2 linked regions of the Rattus norvegicus genome follow. The protein of the gene in region 1 interacts with the protein of each later gene in a pairwise test. Links are inferred from orthologs where the notes say so. Each region holds a gene or a part of one and is shown in the gene's direction. Other genes may lie near its edges.

What was found. The genes of interacting proteins can lie anywhere in the genome.
Region 2: the proteins of Dhps (region 1) and Eif5a2 interact in binary tests that used the Homo sapiens proteins (3 or more experiments, as listed by UniProt). The two-hybrid records come from large-scale screens. The link is inferred for Rattus norvegicus from reciprocal best matches to the Homo sapiens genes DHPS and EIF5A2.

What each region holds. Positions count from the first base shown.
Region 1 is NC_086037.1:39,987,029-39,993,410, reverse strand, and holds Dhps (deoxyhypusine synthase), read left to right. Parts: upstream 1-1,992; 5' UTR 1,993-2,066; coding exon 2,067-2,273; intron 2,274-2,674; coding exon 2,675-2,839; intron 2,840-3,518; coding exon 3,519-3,640; intron 3,641-3,722; coding exon 3,723-3,819; intron 3,820-3,900; coding exon 3,901-3,987; intron 3,988-4,468; coding exon 4,469-4,574; intron 4,575-4,651; coding exon 4,652-4,755; intron 4,756-5,666; coding exon 5,667-5,792; intron 5,793-5,866; coding exon 5,867-5,962; 3' UTR 5,963-6,083; downstream 6,084-6,382. Other genes in the region: Wdr83 (WD repeat domain-containing protein 83), read right to left, coding at 6,191-6,205. UniProt on the Homo sapiens protein: Catalyzes the NAD-dependent oxidative cleavage of spermidine and the subsequent transfer of the butylamine moiety of spermidine to the epsilon-amino group of a critical lysine residue of the eIF-5A precursor protein to form the intermediate deoxyhypusine residue.
Region 2 is NC_086020.1:113,655,060-113,661,766, forward strand, and holds the start of Eif5a2 (eukaryotic translation initiation factor 5A-2), read left to right. Parts: upstream 1-2,774; 5' UTR 2,775-2,857; intron 2,858-3,455; 5' UTR 3,456-3,491; coding exon 3,492-3,656; intron 3,657-4,160; coding exon 4,161-4,265; intron 4,266-6,707. UniProt on the Homo sapiens protein: Translation factor that promotes translation elongation and termination, particularly upon ribosome stalling at specific amino acid sequence contexts.

The sequences.
Region 1 (6,382 bases):
CTGGGTACTCCCATCACACCCAGCCTGCTTATCATCCTTCCTGCTGTCCCCCGAGGATTGTCCTGACACTGTTGTGTTCATCTGTTCATCCAACAGTGTATTAGCCTGGCTGAGCTGCTACAAGAAAAAGCCACAGACTGAATTGTAGAAACCCCAGGAATTGTTGGCTGGAAATATGAGGTCAAGGTGCTGGTGTTGATTTCTCTAAAGACTAGTGCTTCAGCAACCTCTTTTAAATTTGTATTTTAAAACTGCATTCATTATCCCAGCGCTCAGGAGACAGAGGCAGGTTGATCTTTCTCGGTGGGTTGAGGCCAGTCAGTTACATAGTGACACTGTCTGAAAAAAATTTATGTGCGTTGAGGGGAGGGGAGTTGCATGTGAATTGGGTCAGAGGTCATCTTTCTGGAAACTGTTCTACCAGGCCAGTCTTCGAGATTGAACTCAGGTGTCCAGGCCTCCTGAGCAAGGGCTTTACCCACTGAGCCATGGTCTTACTGGCCTGGAGGTCAACTTCTTGCTGGGTCCCCAGCTGCTCTTTCCTCTGCTTGTAAATCATGGTGACTGAGGTTTATCTGAGCATATCGGCCATCATTCTCTGACTCAGTGCAGTGTGGCTACCTTCACGGAACCTGTTCCCTACAGCAGTAGGTGTCATCAGACTCTCACTTGGGATTCAAGTCCTTTTGCCCTCCTGCATACTACCCATTGCAGATCTCCCTGCAGCCAGATGTGGCATTTGGGCACTGCTAGCCTATAGAGGAGGTTAAACGAAGGGGAGACCTTTATCTGTGCATCTTTGGGGAAATAGTGTCTCTGATATTTTTATAACAGGAATTTTCTGGGTCTTCTGGCCTCAGTCAAAACATCATGTGTTTGGCAGTTTTCTCCAGTCACCTTTTCCCTCAGCTCTGGTTACCAATTCCTCCAACCCACCTTCACACTTAACAGAGTGTGTGTGTTTTCTAGGCCAGAGGACAACCTCAGATGTCACTCTCATTCACCTGGTCCCTAAACCTGTGTGTATGAGCTTGTGCACGCATGGCATGCTTGTGGAGGTCAGACAATAATGTAAACAGGTCCAGACTCTTCTATCATGGGCCTTTGGCTACTGAGCCATTCTTCAGGTCCCATCCCCAAGGATCTACTGGTCTCTGCTTACCCAGAGCTATTACTGGTATTGCCAACCCCCTACCCCTCTTGAGTTCTGGCAATTAAACACACATATTCAATCCACACTCTTGCTTTTTTGCAAAGCAAGGACTGTACAGACAGCTATTTCCCTAGCCATGCCCGTCCCTTTTGTTGAGAAAGGGTCTTGCTTTCAATAGTTCAGGCTGGCCTGGAACTCGAGATTCTTTTGCCTCCACCTCCTGATTGCTGGTTTAGCCACCTAATGGTTTCCTGTTCATCAGACTATAGTCATCAGGAGGGCAGAGTCCATTGCTAAATCGCAGCGCCCAGCAGAGAGCACTATTTCTAGTGTAGATTACACAAACTGTAGAATGAGGGTGCCCCTGTCCTAGGTTCAGTGTATCATTAAAGGGGACGCATGAGAAAAGATTCTCAACAAACTTCTTTCGGCAAAAAGATGGTGGTCATCCCTGTCTCCCCAGAGGCCTATGATCCAGTGAAAATTGAACTATGGTTGTAGGGGGAAAAGAAGTTTGTAGCGACTCGAGGAAGCACCGAAAGAAAACACTCCCATTTGACAAAAGTCTGCAACTAACTTGTCCAAGGGCTCCGTCCTAGAAACAATCACCTCGCTCATGGGGGGACAAGAATATTTGGACAGACAGTTTGCAAATCAGGCACTTTTATCTACTTGAAGCTGAATCTGCCTACAAGGAATAACAAACAGCTCCTGGACCACATGTACGGAACACGGGAATAAAATGGCTGCTACCAGGCCCGCAGGCGCTGCCAGGGCCATGTGACTCAAGTAGCTTCCGGTACCCCTCCCCCGCCCCCGAGTCGCATTTCCTGGGCTCCGGCGGACCAAGCTGAAGGATTTGGCGGGTTCCAGGGCACCGAGACTGCTGTGACCAGAGAACGGCCGAGAGCGCATGGAGGGGACCCCGTCGGGGGCGGCGCCCTCCTCGGCGCTGGCCGCTGTGCTCAAGCACAGCTCAGCGTTGCCGCCCGAGAGCGCCCAGGTCCAAGGTTACGACTTCAACCGCGGGGTAGATTACCACGCGCTTCTGGAAGCCTACGGCACCACCGGCTTCCAGGCCACCAACTTCGGGCGCGCGGTGCAGCAAGTCAACGCCATGGTGAGGCGCCGGGCGACCCGGGTGGGAGGCGGGGCCGCTCCGTCCGCGTGAGTGCCGGGGAGAGGCGGAGTCCTGGTTAACTAGTGTTCCGCGATGGGAGGAGCTTGGGGTTAAAATCAAAACGGGCTTGTAGGAGGAGCTTAACGCTGGGAGAGCCCTGGATTCGCTTTTCCCACTGGAAGGAGTCCTGAAGAGAAGACACTGTGTTGTTCTTAAAAGGGAACAAACCCCAAGTGACAGACCAGGACCTGGAATGGGAGGGTTAGGGTCTGCACAGGGGTTGTGCTTTGGTTTTGTAGTAGTCTCCCTGAGTGCAATCAACGTCTGGAATCCAATTCATGTGGGGTTCCTCCACTGAGGTTTGGAGTTTTAGTGCAACTTTACTGTGCCCCTATGCCCAGATTGAGAAGAAGCTGGAACCACTGGCAGTAGATGAAGATCATCACGAAGACCTGACTCAGAGCCGCCGCCCACTCACAGGCTGCACCATTTTCTTGGGCTATACGTCCAACCTCATCAGTTCTGGCATCCGGGAGACCATTCGCTACCTCGTGCAGCACAATATGGTGGGTCCACGTTAGATCAGTGGCCCCAGCCTCTCTGGGCCAGTAGACAAAAGGGTTATTGTTCATTTAAGAAACATGAAGAGGCTCAGAGATTAAGAGTATTTGCTGTTCTGTGAAAGATTTGGGTTTGGTTTCCAGCAACCACCTGGTGACTCACAACCATCTGTAATGGGGTCTTCTGTGTGTCTGAAGAGAGGGAGAGTGTATTCACATACATAAAATAAATCTTAAAGGGTGTGAGGAAATGGAGTATTGCTTTTAGACATACTGGCAGTTTCTTCCTTCCTTCCTTCCTTCCTTCCTTCCTTCCTTCCTTCCTTCCTTCCTTTGTATATGAGCACACTGTTACTGTCTTCATGTACACCAGAAGAGAGCATCAGATCCCATTACAGATGGTTGTGAGCCACCATGTGGTTGCTGGGAATTGAACTCAGGACCTCTGGAAGAGCAGTCAGTGCTCTTAACTGCTGAGCCATCTCTCTAGACCCATACTGGCAGTTCTTAGACTTCAGCCTCCTTTCTGAGTGCTGGGATCACAAGAGTGTGCCACGTTTTCTGGGTCTGCTTTAGGCTTGAGTTGGTTTTGTCATAGAGCTCATGCTTTGGGTCTGGATGAGCTCAGGCCAATGTTAGGGGCACTACTTTGAAGAAGGGTCTGTGTTGTTGCTGGTGACCACAGGTGGATGTACTGGTGACCACTGCTGGAGGGGTGGAAGAAGATCTCATCAAGTGCCTGGCACCCACATATCTGGGCGAGTTCAGCCTCAGGGGGAAGGAGCTCCGGGAGAATGGGATCAACAGGTGAGGCTCTGAGTAGTGGTAGGAGCAGGGAAGCCGCGTTGAGGGTCCCAGTGTCTGATGCCCTCATGGATCCCATTTCTAGGATCGGGAACCTGCTGGTGCCAAATGACAATTATTGCAAGTTTGAGGACTGGCTCATGCCCATCCTAGACCAGATGGTGCAGGAGCAGAATACAGAGGTAGGGCTGGAAGGGCTCAGGTGGACCTGCATAGTTGAGTCAGAAGACATGGGCTAATACTGATATTCTCCCCCTTGTTAGGGTGTGAAGTGGACACCTTCCAAGATGATCTCCCGGCTTGGGAAGGAGATCAACAACCCAGAGTCTGTGTATTATTGGGCCCATAAGGTGGGTTGGGTGGGGACAGTATTCTTGGGGACAGTACTTAGGCTTTGACTTGCAATGACTTGTTTGACTTAGTAGCCACCTAAAAGTCTCAGTAATCATTCTTGGTCTTCCCAGAGTTAGACGAGGAATGTCGAACAGAGAGGCTAGGCGTCACTTGACTGCAGGGTTCTCCTAGCTATGCCCCTACACTCCTGGGACTCGGTGTAGTGCTTTAGAAGTCGGTGGGGCCTGACCCAGGGTACCATGTGCCCAGGGACAGTGCAGCTCAAGAGTCTGGACAATAAGACACTGCTCAGTGTGCCAGTACCTTCTTCAAGCCATGTGTGGTTTTTCCTCACGTCTGCATCCACATGCAAAGCAGAGGGTCATGTGCACCAGAGAAATCAAGCAGCCTACTCAGGTCGGGAGGGATGCCACTGGGTTGGGCATCAGTTTTGCTGGGGTATGAGGTGTAGCTGCTAACTGGTCCTATCTCCACCAGAACCACATACCTGTGCTGAGTCCTGCACTCACAGACGGCTCACTGGGTGACATGATCTTTTTCCATTCCTATAAAAACCCAGGCTTGGTCCTGGACATCGTTGAAGGTGAGGTGCTAAGGCCCTGGGAGAAGGGTGAGAAAAGCCCACCGAGTCCAAGGCCTGACCTCTGCCCTCTCTCCCAGACCTGCGGCTCATCAACATGCAGGCCATTTTCGCCAAGCGCACTGGGATGATCATCCTGGGTGGAGGCGTGGTCAAGCACCACATCGCCAATGCTAACCTCATGGTGAGTGGAGTGGCTCTTGGCAGCCATCCCCACCCTCTGCTCTGAGAGATGGTGGTATTAGATGTGCACTACAGCAGTGCACTCGATGGGCCAGAGTCCCTGTCCTCTTTGGAGTTATGTTGGGGTGAGGCAGGTCAGACAGCCATAAGTGACATGCATGTGAGGACTAAGTAATGTCAGTCAGGCAAGGTGACTGCTTGGGAGACTGAGGCAGGAGGAAGGCTTGTTCATAGTTCAGGGCCAATGCGAAATGTTGTAATGTGAAAGGAAAGCCGTTTACTGAAGGGAGTGTTGGGGACAGGCTTCTGGAATTGTAAGTTTGAGCAGAGATCGATGTGCTATCCACAAGTCTTAAGGTTATGTATGGGAAGAACATTCTCAGTGAGGGAACATCCAGGGTAAAGGCCCTGAGACATCTTCACCTCAAGTGGTGAAGGCAGCTTAAAGGTTACACTGCAGAGGTAGCTGGGCCTGTGGAACAAAAAGAGTATTTAGGAACTTGCTCTGAATGAGAACAGGATTTGGGAAGAACATATTTGCAGATGCTCTCTGGTGGGGTAATGGATCTGAGGCACAGAGTAGTGTCGTAGTGGGAGCAGAGGTAGGTTTGGTCTCCTGTAGATGGCTTGTGGCAGCCACCGAACCATCTCTCCAGCCCCTATACACCATTCTCACCCGTGCTTTAACTGGCTTGTCACATGGGGTGCTCAGAAGTGGTACATTTGGTTTAGGGTGGGACAGCTTGTACCTAGGTGGTGGTTGTATTGGAAACATGACCACCTGCCCATGAACCTCAGGTACCGATGGGTCCTTCTAAAAGCTCTCTAGGCCTTCCTCTATCATACCCAGCCTCTGTGGCTCTGGTGGTCTCTCTGTCTATGACTTCTGACCAGGCCTTCTTCTACCCACAGCGGAATGGAGCTGACTACGCTGTTTATATCAACACAGCCCAGGAGTTTGATGGCTCAGACTCAGGAGCCCGGCCAGATGAGGCTGTCTCCTGGGGCAAGATCCGGATGGATGCACAGCCAGTAAAGGTAGATGGTGGCCAGCCAGGGTGCAGGGTCCAGGGGCTGCCCCATGGCCCCGGGCTCACTCAGGTCCTCTGCAGGTCTATGCTGATGCATCTCTGGTTTTCCCCTTGCTGGTGGCTGAGACATTCGCCCAAAAGGCAGATGCCTTCAGAGCTGAGAAGAATGAGGACTGAGCAGATGGGTAAAGACGGAGGCTTCTGCCACACCTTTATTTATTATTTGCATACCAGCCCCTCCCTGGGCCCTCTCCTTGGTCAGCAGCATCTTGAGAATAAATGGCCTTTTTGTTGGGTTTCTGAATTGGTCTGGGTCCTTGGTGTCAGGTCCATAAGTTCAGCCTGCTCCACCCTCTGCCTCGTAGGTCTCTTCTCGCCAGTACTGGATGCTGCCTCCCATGGCAGTCAATAGGCAGGGGTCTGTGGGATGGTAAGCCAGTGACTGTACCACATTAGAACCCACAGGTAGGGCCAGTGCTAGGGAACCCTAAGGAATGAATGGCAGGGAACAATCATTATCAGTTAGTCTCCTTGAGATCTAGCCTGAAGTCCTCAGTCATCTTTTTTCTTTTTTTCTTTTTTTTCCTTTTTCTTTTT
Region 2 (6,707 bases), on another chromosome or scaffold:
GTCCACAGACAAGCCACCAGCCACATACAGCTTGCAGTGAAACCCAGAATGTGGCTACTGCGAATGTAGATGTTAAATGAAGAATATACACCAGATTGTAAAAACTTAGTACTAATTAAAAAAAATGTACAATAGCTTAGTAAATAATTTTATAGTTATATGTGGAAGAATATTTGAACATATTGATTAGGTTAAACTAAACATATTAACGGGGCTTAATTTCAGCTTTTAAAAATCCTTTTAACCTATCTGTAGGAAACTCAAAATTACATGTAGACTGCCTTGGATTCCCCCTGACCGACACACAGGCTAAAAAGGAGGAGCTCCTTTTGTCAGTGTTCCATGTCATGTCAGGACTATTCATCTTTGGGAATTACTAGACAGACAGACTGCGAGCAGCTTGTGGACAAGGGGCTTGCTATACCCTTCTGGAAACTCCAGAAGTAAGAATGGTCAAATAAACAGTCAATAAATTATAATGAATGAATGAATGAATGAATGAATGAATGAAAAATACTCAAAGCTCACTATTTTTGAATTCTACACTTGTGGTTTTGCATAAAGAACCAAAAGAAAATATCCAGAACATGCTTCCTGCATTGTCTGTGCCTGTGCAGAGATCTGAGCTGAGGCCAAACACAGCAGTGTTCTCTTTGATGGTTTCAACTATCGAACTGCACATACGTGTTCTTTCTGGTATATTTACTATGCTTGTGAGAGCTTTGATTTCTGGTTTGCACCTTATGCACCCTGTGGGTGATTTCCCTGCTTAAAATGCCCCCAAGTACTATGCTGAGAAGCTCTCTGGTGTTCCTATGCACAAGGTTCTGTTGTGCCAAATAGAGAAGTGTGTAGATAAAATACCTTTAGGCTTACACTGTAGTGCTATCAGCCACACACCCACTGTTAACAAACACATACGAGGGGTTGGGGATTTAGCTCAGTGGTAGAGTGCTTGCCTAGCAAGCGCAAGGCCCTGGGTTCGGTCCCCAGCTCCGAGAAAAAAAAAAAAAAAACCACATACGAAATAAAGTGCCTCTAATAGAATTAAACATGACAATCACTCATTCACCATGGAGATTTGGCCAAGGAACGTATAAGGAATCTAGGACTGTGACTCTCCTAGAATCAAGGGCTCAGAATTGGCTACTTCAGTGTTCTAGAGACCTCAGGAGAAGTCACTGTATTTGTTGAATTAATAGTCATTTGAGTATGCATACAAATCTTATGTGAATATGGTGGCAGACAAAGAAGTGATTTCAACTTTAATCCTGGCTGACTTTGACGAGCTATACGATTGGGGGCAACTTGCTTCATTGTCCTGGCCTTCTCCCCATTATTCAAAAATGAGGATAAGAGTAACTATTAGTGATTGGGAAGGTCTGGCTGGGTGTAATCTCCCCATTATTCAAAAATGAGGATAAGAGTAACTATTAGTGATTGGGAAGGTCTGGCTGGGTGTAAGGTAGAGGTGGAAAACAGGGCCGATGACCAAGAGGCACAGAGAATTTTGGAATGCGAAAATATTCTCTATCTTGATTATGGGAAGATAATTGTATAACTGATTTTCTTTTTCAAAACTCGTAGAAAACCAAACCTTATTTCAAATAAATTCTAACATTAACCTTAGTTTAAACAAAAACTTTAGTAGTCAAGATTAAATAATGGAGATAAAACAGTACACTCTGTAATTCTTTTTTAAGTATTAGCAGCAGTAATAACAACAAAAACAGGGAAAAGTTAGGCAGTGTAAGTAAGGAAAAGCTGAGGGAACTCGGAAGCCTGGAGTTATAATTTGGCTCTTCCATAGAGTAACAAGAGGCAGAGTTTACTTTACGGAAACCATGTGCTTATTGCTTCTAAACAACACAAGTGAAATGTGTTCTGTATAGACGTATACATGAGTATGAGACTAGATTTGCTTACAAGACAGCAATTATTGAACAACACGAACTGCGGTGTGGGGTAGTAAGTTCATTACCTTGATTCTCTCCAAGGTGAGAGATGAAGCTATGATCGGAAAGCACACTTCTCAGGAATCTTTGCCTTTATTCCTTAACAACACAAACCACAACAAAACTCCAAACTCTAGGGCACCTAGACGCCAAGAAGATCAAAGGGCAGCATAAAGTCTCTGGGCACATGGGATTTCCTGCCCCTAGGTACACTGTTGACTCTCCAGCTGCACCAGCACCTCACCATAGGGCCTCTGGAGTCCTGAGGAACTACAACGCAGAGTCATGAAACAGCACACCACAACTTCGAGCTCCAAGCATGGATTCCAAACCCCCAAGGAGGGCCGCAAGCTGTACCGGAAGCTTGAGTCAAAGTTCCACTCCACCGACACACGGGACTCTTGCAAAATCCGCGGGACTTGAGAGTTTGAAGACCATTAAAGGACAGCATCCATGCACCCGCGTGCTAGAGCCCAGAGCGAGCTACCTGGTCCTAATGGTCGTCCCCAAGGTCAACTGGGCCCGGAACTGAACATAAGGATGCATCCCGCCCGGGAACTCAGCGAAGCTTCAAGCAGTCGACTGCAGGCAGCTCTGCACGCCGGAAGTGCACTAATCCGCAGCACGTGGGGTTGCCAGGGCGAGCTTCACGTGACTGGGCGGGACCTCAGAAAACCTCGAGCCAATGGAAGATCTGGAGGCGGGGCCTGTGGCGGGCCGGGGCCTATCCCGGAAGTGTAGCCGCGGCGGGGCGGGCCCGGGCGGGGCGGGCCGGGGCGGGGAGCCGGGTGTGGGAAGCGTGGCGGCCCCGCCCCGTCTCCTGGACCAGCCGCGGCCGCCAGCGCCGCCGCAGCCGCAGGGACCGGGCGGACGCAGCAAAGGCTTGCGGTGCGGGCCGGAAGGTGAAGACCAGGGGCCGGGCCGGCGGGGCGGGGGACGCAGCTGGTGATGCTGGGGTCCGGGCGAGGGGAGGAGCGGAGATGCTTGGGAACTAGAAGGCAGACGAGCGCGGGACCGCCGGGCTCGGGCCCTTCGCCACTGGGCCGAACCGGGATACCAGGGCGGCGCCGCTGCGGGTCCTAGGCGCGCTGAGGGCCAGGTGCAGCCGGCCGGGTGCTCGTGTCCCAGTCTTTCCCGGACCTGCGGCCTGGCTGATGCCTTGGCAGTGGGGATGGGGTGGAGGGTGGCACCGGGCCCGGCAGCCCGGCGCAGGAAGGTCGCGGCACTTCTTGTGATAGGGTGGTGGGGACCGGACCTGCCGACCCGGCGCTGGTGTCGCCTTCACTCTCCGGCGAGCTCTTCTGCGGCTCCCTCCCCACCTCCCACCAAGGGCTGGAAAAGTTTTCAGAGGCCTGAATGGCAAAGTATACACCACTCAGAGTGGGTGTCCTATAATGCCAAAATAACGGGCTAGTGATGCTCGGCTTGTTATCCGTCTTCAAAATGAGACGTACCCGCCTGCATGCCCGTTATTAAAAAGCAAACAAACTTTTCGCATAGTTCCCTCAGAAAAACCACACATCTCCCCAGCCCACCATGGCAGACGAAATTGATTTCACTACTGGAGATGCAGGGGCTTCCAGCACTTATCCTATGCAGTGCTCAGCCCTGCGCAAAAACGGCTTCGTGGTGCTCAAAGGGCGTCCATGCAAAATCGTGGAGATGTCAACTTCCAAGACTGGGAAGCATGGTCATGCCAAGGTAAGCGCTTCCAGGTCACTCTTTGGCTTCTTGGATAAGATCCTATGTATTCCATTCTACATCATAAGATTTCTATATTTAAAATAACTTTTTTCTTCCCTTGGTCTCTTGAATGATCAGGCATTACTCCCAATAAAACTATCCTTTAATTGGTCCCTTAGAATGTCTCATTAACTGGAAACTAAAACTTTTTTGAATTCTGGTGCTCTAAAACGTCTTGTTTCATTGAAACAAGCCTGTTCTTATAATTCTAAGAGACTTGGTTTTCACTTTCTGTGGACTCTCGTAATTGAAGCGCTGAGATGTGTAGTGTGTTGGGAGTTGGATGCCATGAAACTGTTCTGGTTTGGGGTACTTACTGAATCTCAGTTCTGTGCCACTGCAACTTTTTTAAAGAAAGTGAGACGACCTTGGAGAGAGGTGATAGGATCCATTACAGTCAGCGTCGGGAGTGACATAGCTGACAGAGATTAAACATGTTCCTGCCCTTCCTGCCTCTCTTAGGTACACCTTGTTGGAATTGACATTTTCACTGGCAAAAAATATGAAGATATTTGTCCTTCCACTCACAACATGGATGTTCCAAACATTAAGAGAAATGATTATCAAGTAAGTACTGATTTCCTGAACAGTGTTTCAGAAGTGTGTAAACACCCTCCTTAGTAGTAGTTTGACAAGACTTGAGAGTAGTTTTATAGAGTACGTACCTTACCAATTACTAGACTCCACTTACCTTACAGATTAGAGGAATAGTGTTTTGTTTTGTTTTGTTTTTAATACTTTGTGCCTTTTTTGTTGTGAACTAGGGGACCATATATCTCAGGCTGTCCTTGAACTCAGTATTCATCCAAAGATGATCTTCAGTTTCTGACCCTCCTGCCTCTGCCTATGAGTACTGAGATTGTCCACTGCATCTTCGTGCCTGGCTATCCTGTACTGGAGGTCAAACCCAGGGCCTTGCGCATGCTTTAGGCAAGCAACCTACAGTTGAGCTATCTCTCTAGCTCATTTCTATTCCTATTCCTGCATTTTAAAAATGTTGTATTGAACCAGTGAGATGGCTTAGTTAGGTACTTTCTGTCAAGCCTGACTCTAGAGCTCAATTCCAGAAAGAGAGAACTGTTCTTCACATTTGAGCTATGAAACACACATACCCGCATATGAACATTCACTAGATAAACAAGTATAAGTAGAAATTTTAAATGTAGCATCTAGAGGCAGGAGAACCAGAAAGATTTAAGAAGGTTGGTATCAACTGCATTTACTCAATGACTTATAATGTAAATTTGTAATGTAAAAACAATGTAGACATATTTTTCTAGTTTTAATTTGATGAATAGTTTTATATTTTCACAGTGCCGATTAAATTCTGTATTCTGTATTAAATCTGTAAAAATTTAGAATAATTTGATACTTATATCAAACACCAAAGAAAGTGACATTTTGAGTCAAGTGGATCTGGGCTTGGAACTGGTTCTGGCACTCTCTGGCTAGATGGTCTTTTACAAAGTATTTGTCTTCTCTAAACCTCTGCCTTTGCATCTACAAATCAGAGTGATATGTGGGTTGGATGTGCCCATAAGTAGATGTGCGTTAACAAGTTCTTGTTCTGCTTCATGTATCCTATATCAGAATCCTACTTTCATTATTCTTAGATCATTGGCTTTAGATGTGCTCAGTAAACACTAGTTAAATACACCTTTTTCAGTGTAGCACTGTGTAAGAGTAACATGTCAGATTAAGGCTAAGTATAGAATTTACGTTGGCCAAAATGGGCTTCTTTTCTCATCCTGATTTGTGAGCTCTTAGTATTCATTATATTCAAGCACCACAGACAGGAAAAGCAAAGCCATGTGTAGTTTTTATTCCACACTTCTACCTGTTGGATGTTTCAGCAGGCTACATCAGAGTTCACTATTATTACCAAATTAATGAACCATTGAGGACTACTTGGTTTGGATTTTATGTGGATATTTCATAAGGCCCCAGCATACTCAGCTCCTGTGCAGAGGTGAAGCACATTCAGTCTAAAACAATGCCCACCACAGATTAGCCTTGGGCAGAAGGAGAATTAAAGATTGCCATCCTGTCTCCGTCTCAGATTTTTGTTTTGTCATGTGAGTTTTGTATTCTCATTTTAAATTTTCCTTGTTCTGTGGTTGAGGTGTTTGGGTGTCTTCTCGGGCATGCACCCAAGAAGGCGCCTTGCTTAGTTTGTTCCAGTCCCAACCCTGGAAGTCCACATGGCAGAGTGGATAGCCATGGATGGTGACGGTCAGGCCGCTGGACCTAGGTCTCTGCTTTGGGACTTACTATGGTGTGACCTCGGCTGGCCAGTTATTTGACCTTTCTTGTCTCTTTTACTTCATAAAATTGGGAAGTGGAATCAAAGCTCTCACAGGTTTGCTCTAGGCTCCTGGGAAGGACTCAGGACTGCAGCTCCCCTCTTACAGAATGGCCGGCAGATATTCATTTCTGGTCACTCGTTTAGAATCGGTCCTGTGAGCTTTCTGGTTTATTTATTATGCTCTGGTGATCTTCACTCTTCTATCCATGTGCCTTTGTTAAATCTTTGCTTCTGTTATTATCTGGCTACGTGCAGTTCCTTTGCATCTGCTGAATTCAATATTTTGAGTGCCAGTTTGGCAGCCAGCCAAAGTGGATTGTGAACATCTATTCATTTTAATAATTTAAAAAATAAAAGATTTGGGAGAAAAATATGTTAATATTTACAGATGTAATTTGTGTATACTTAAAATAAGTTCAGGATGCAAGAAAGTGTGTCTCCTGACTCCCATTCCAAGATTGGCTCAGATTCGAATTGCTAATTTTCATTAGTTTTCTCAAAAGAAGTTATAATTGTCTGGGGCTCTGTGGTAGTATAAAATAGAAAATGATTTCAGACCCTTGGAGGGAGTTCCCAATTTGTTAAATGAGAAATGGCTTGTTTGGCCTCTTCTTTGGAATCATATTTTTTTTAATGTCTGTACTGCTGTACACTTAACTCCAAATTCAATCTTTTCTGGATCTGCTGCACTTTTATCTGTCGTT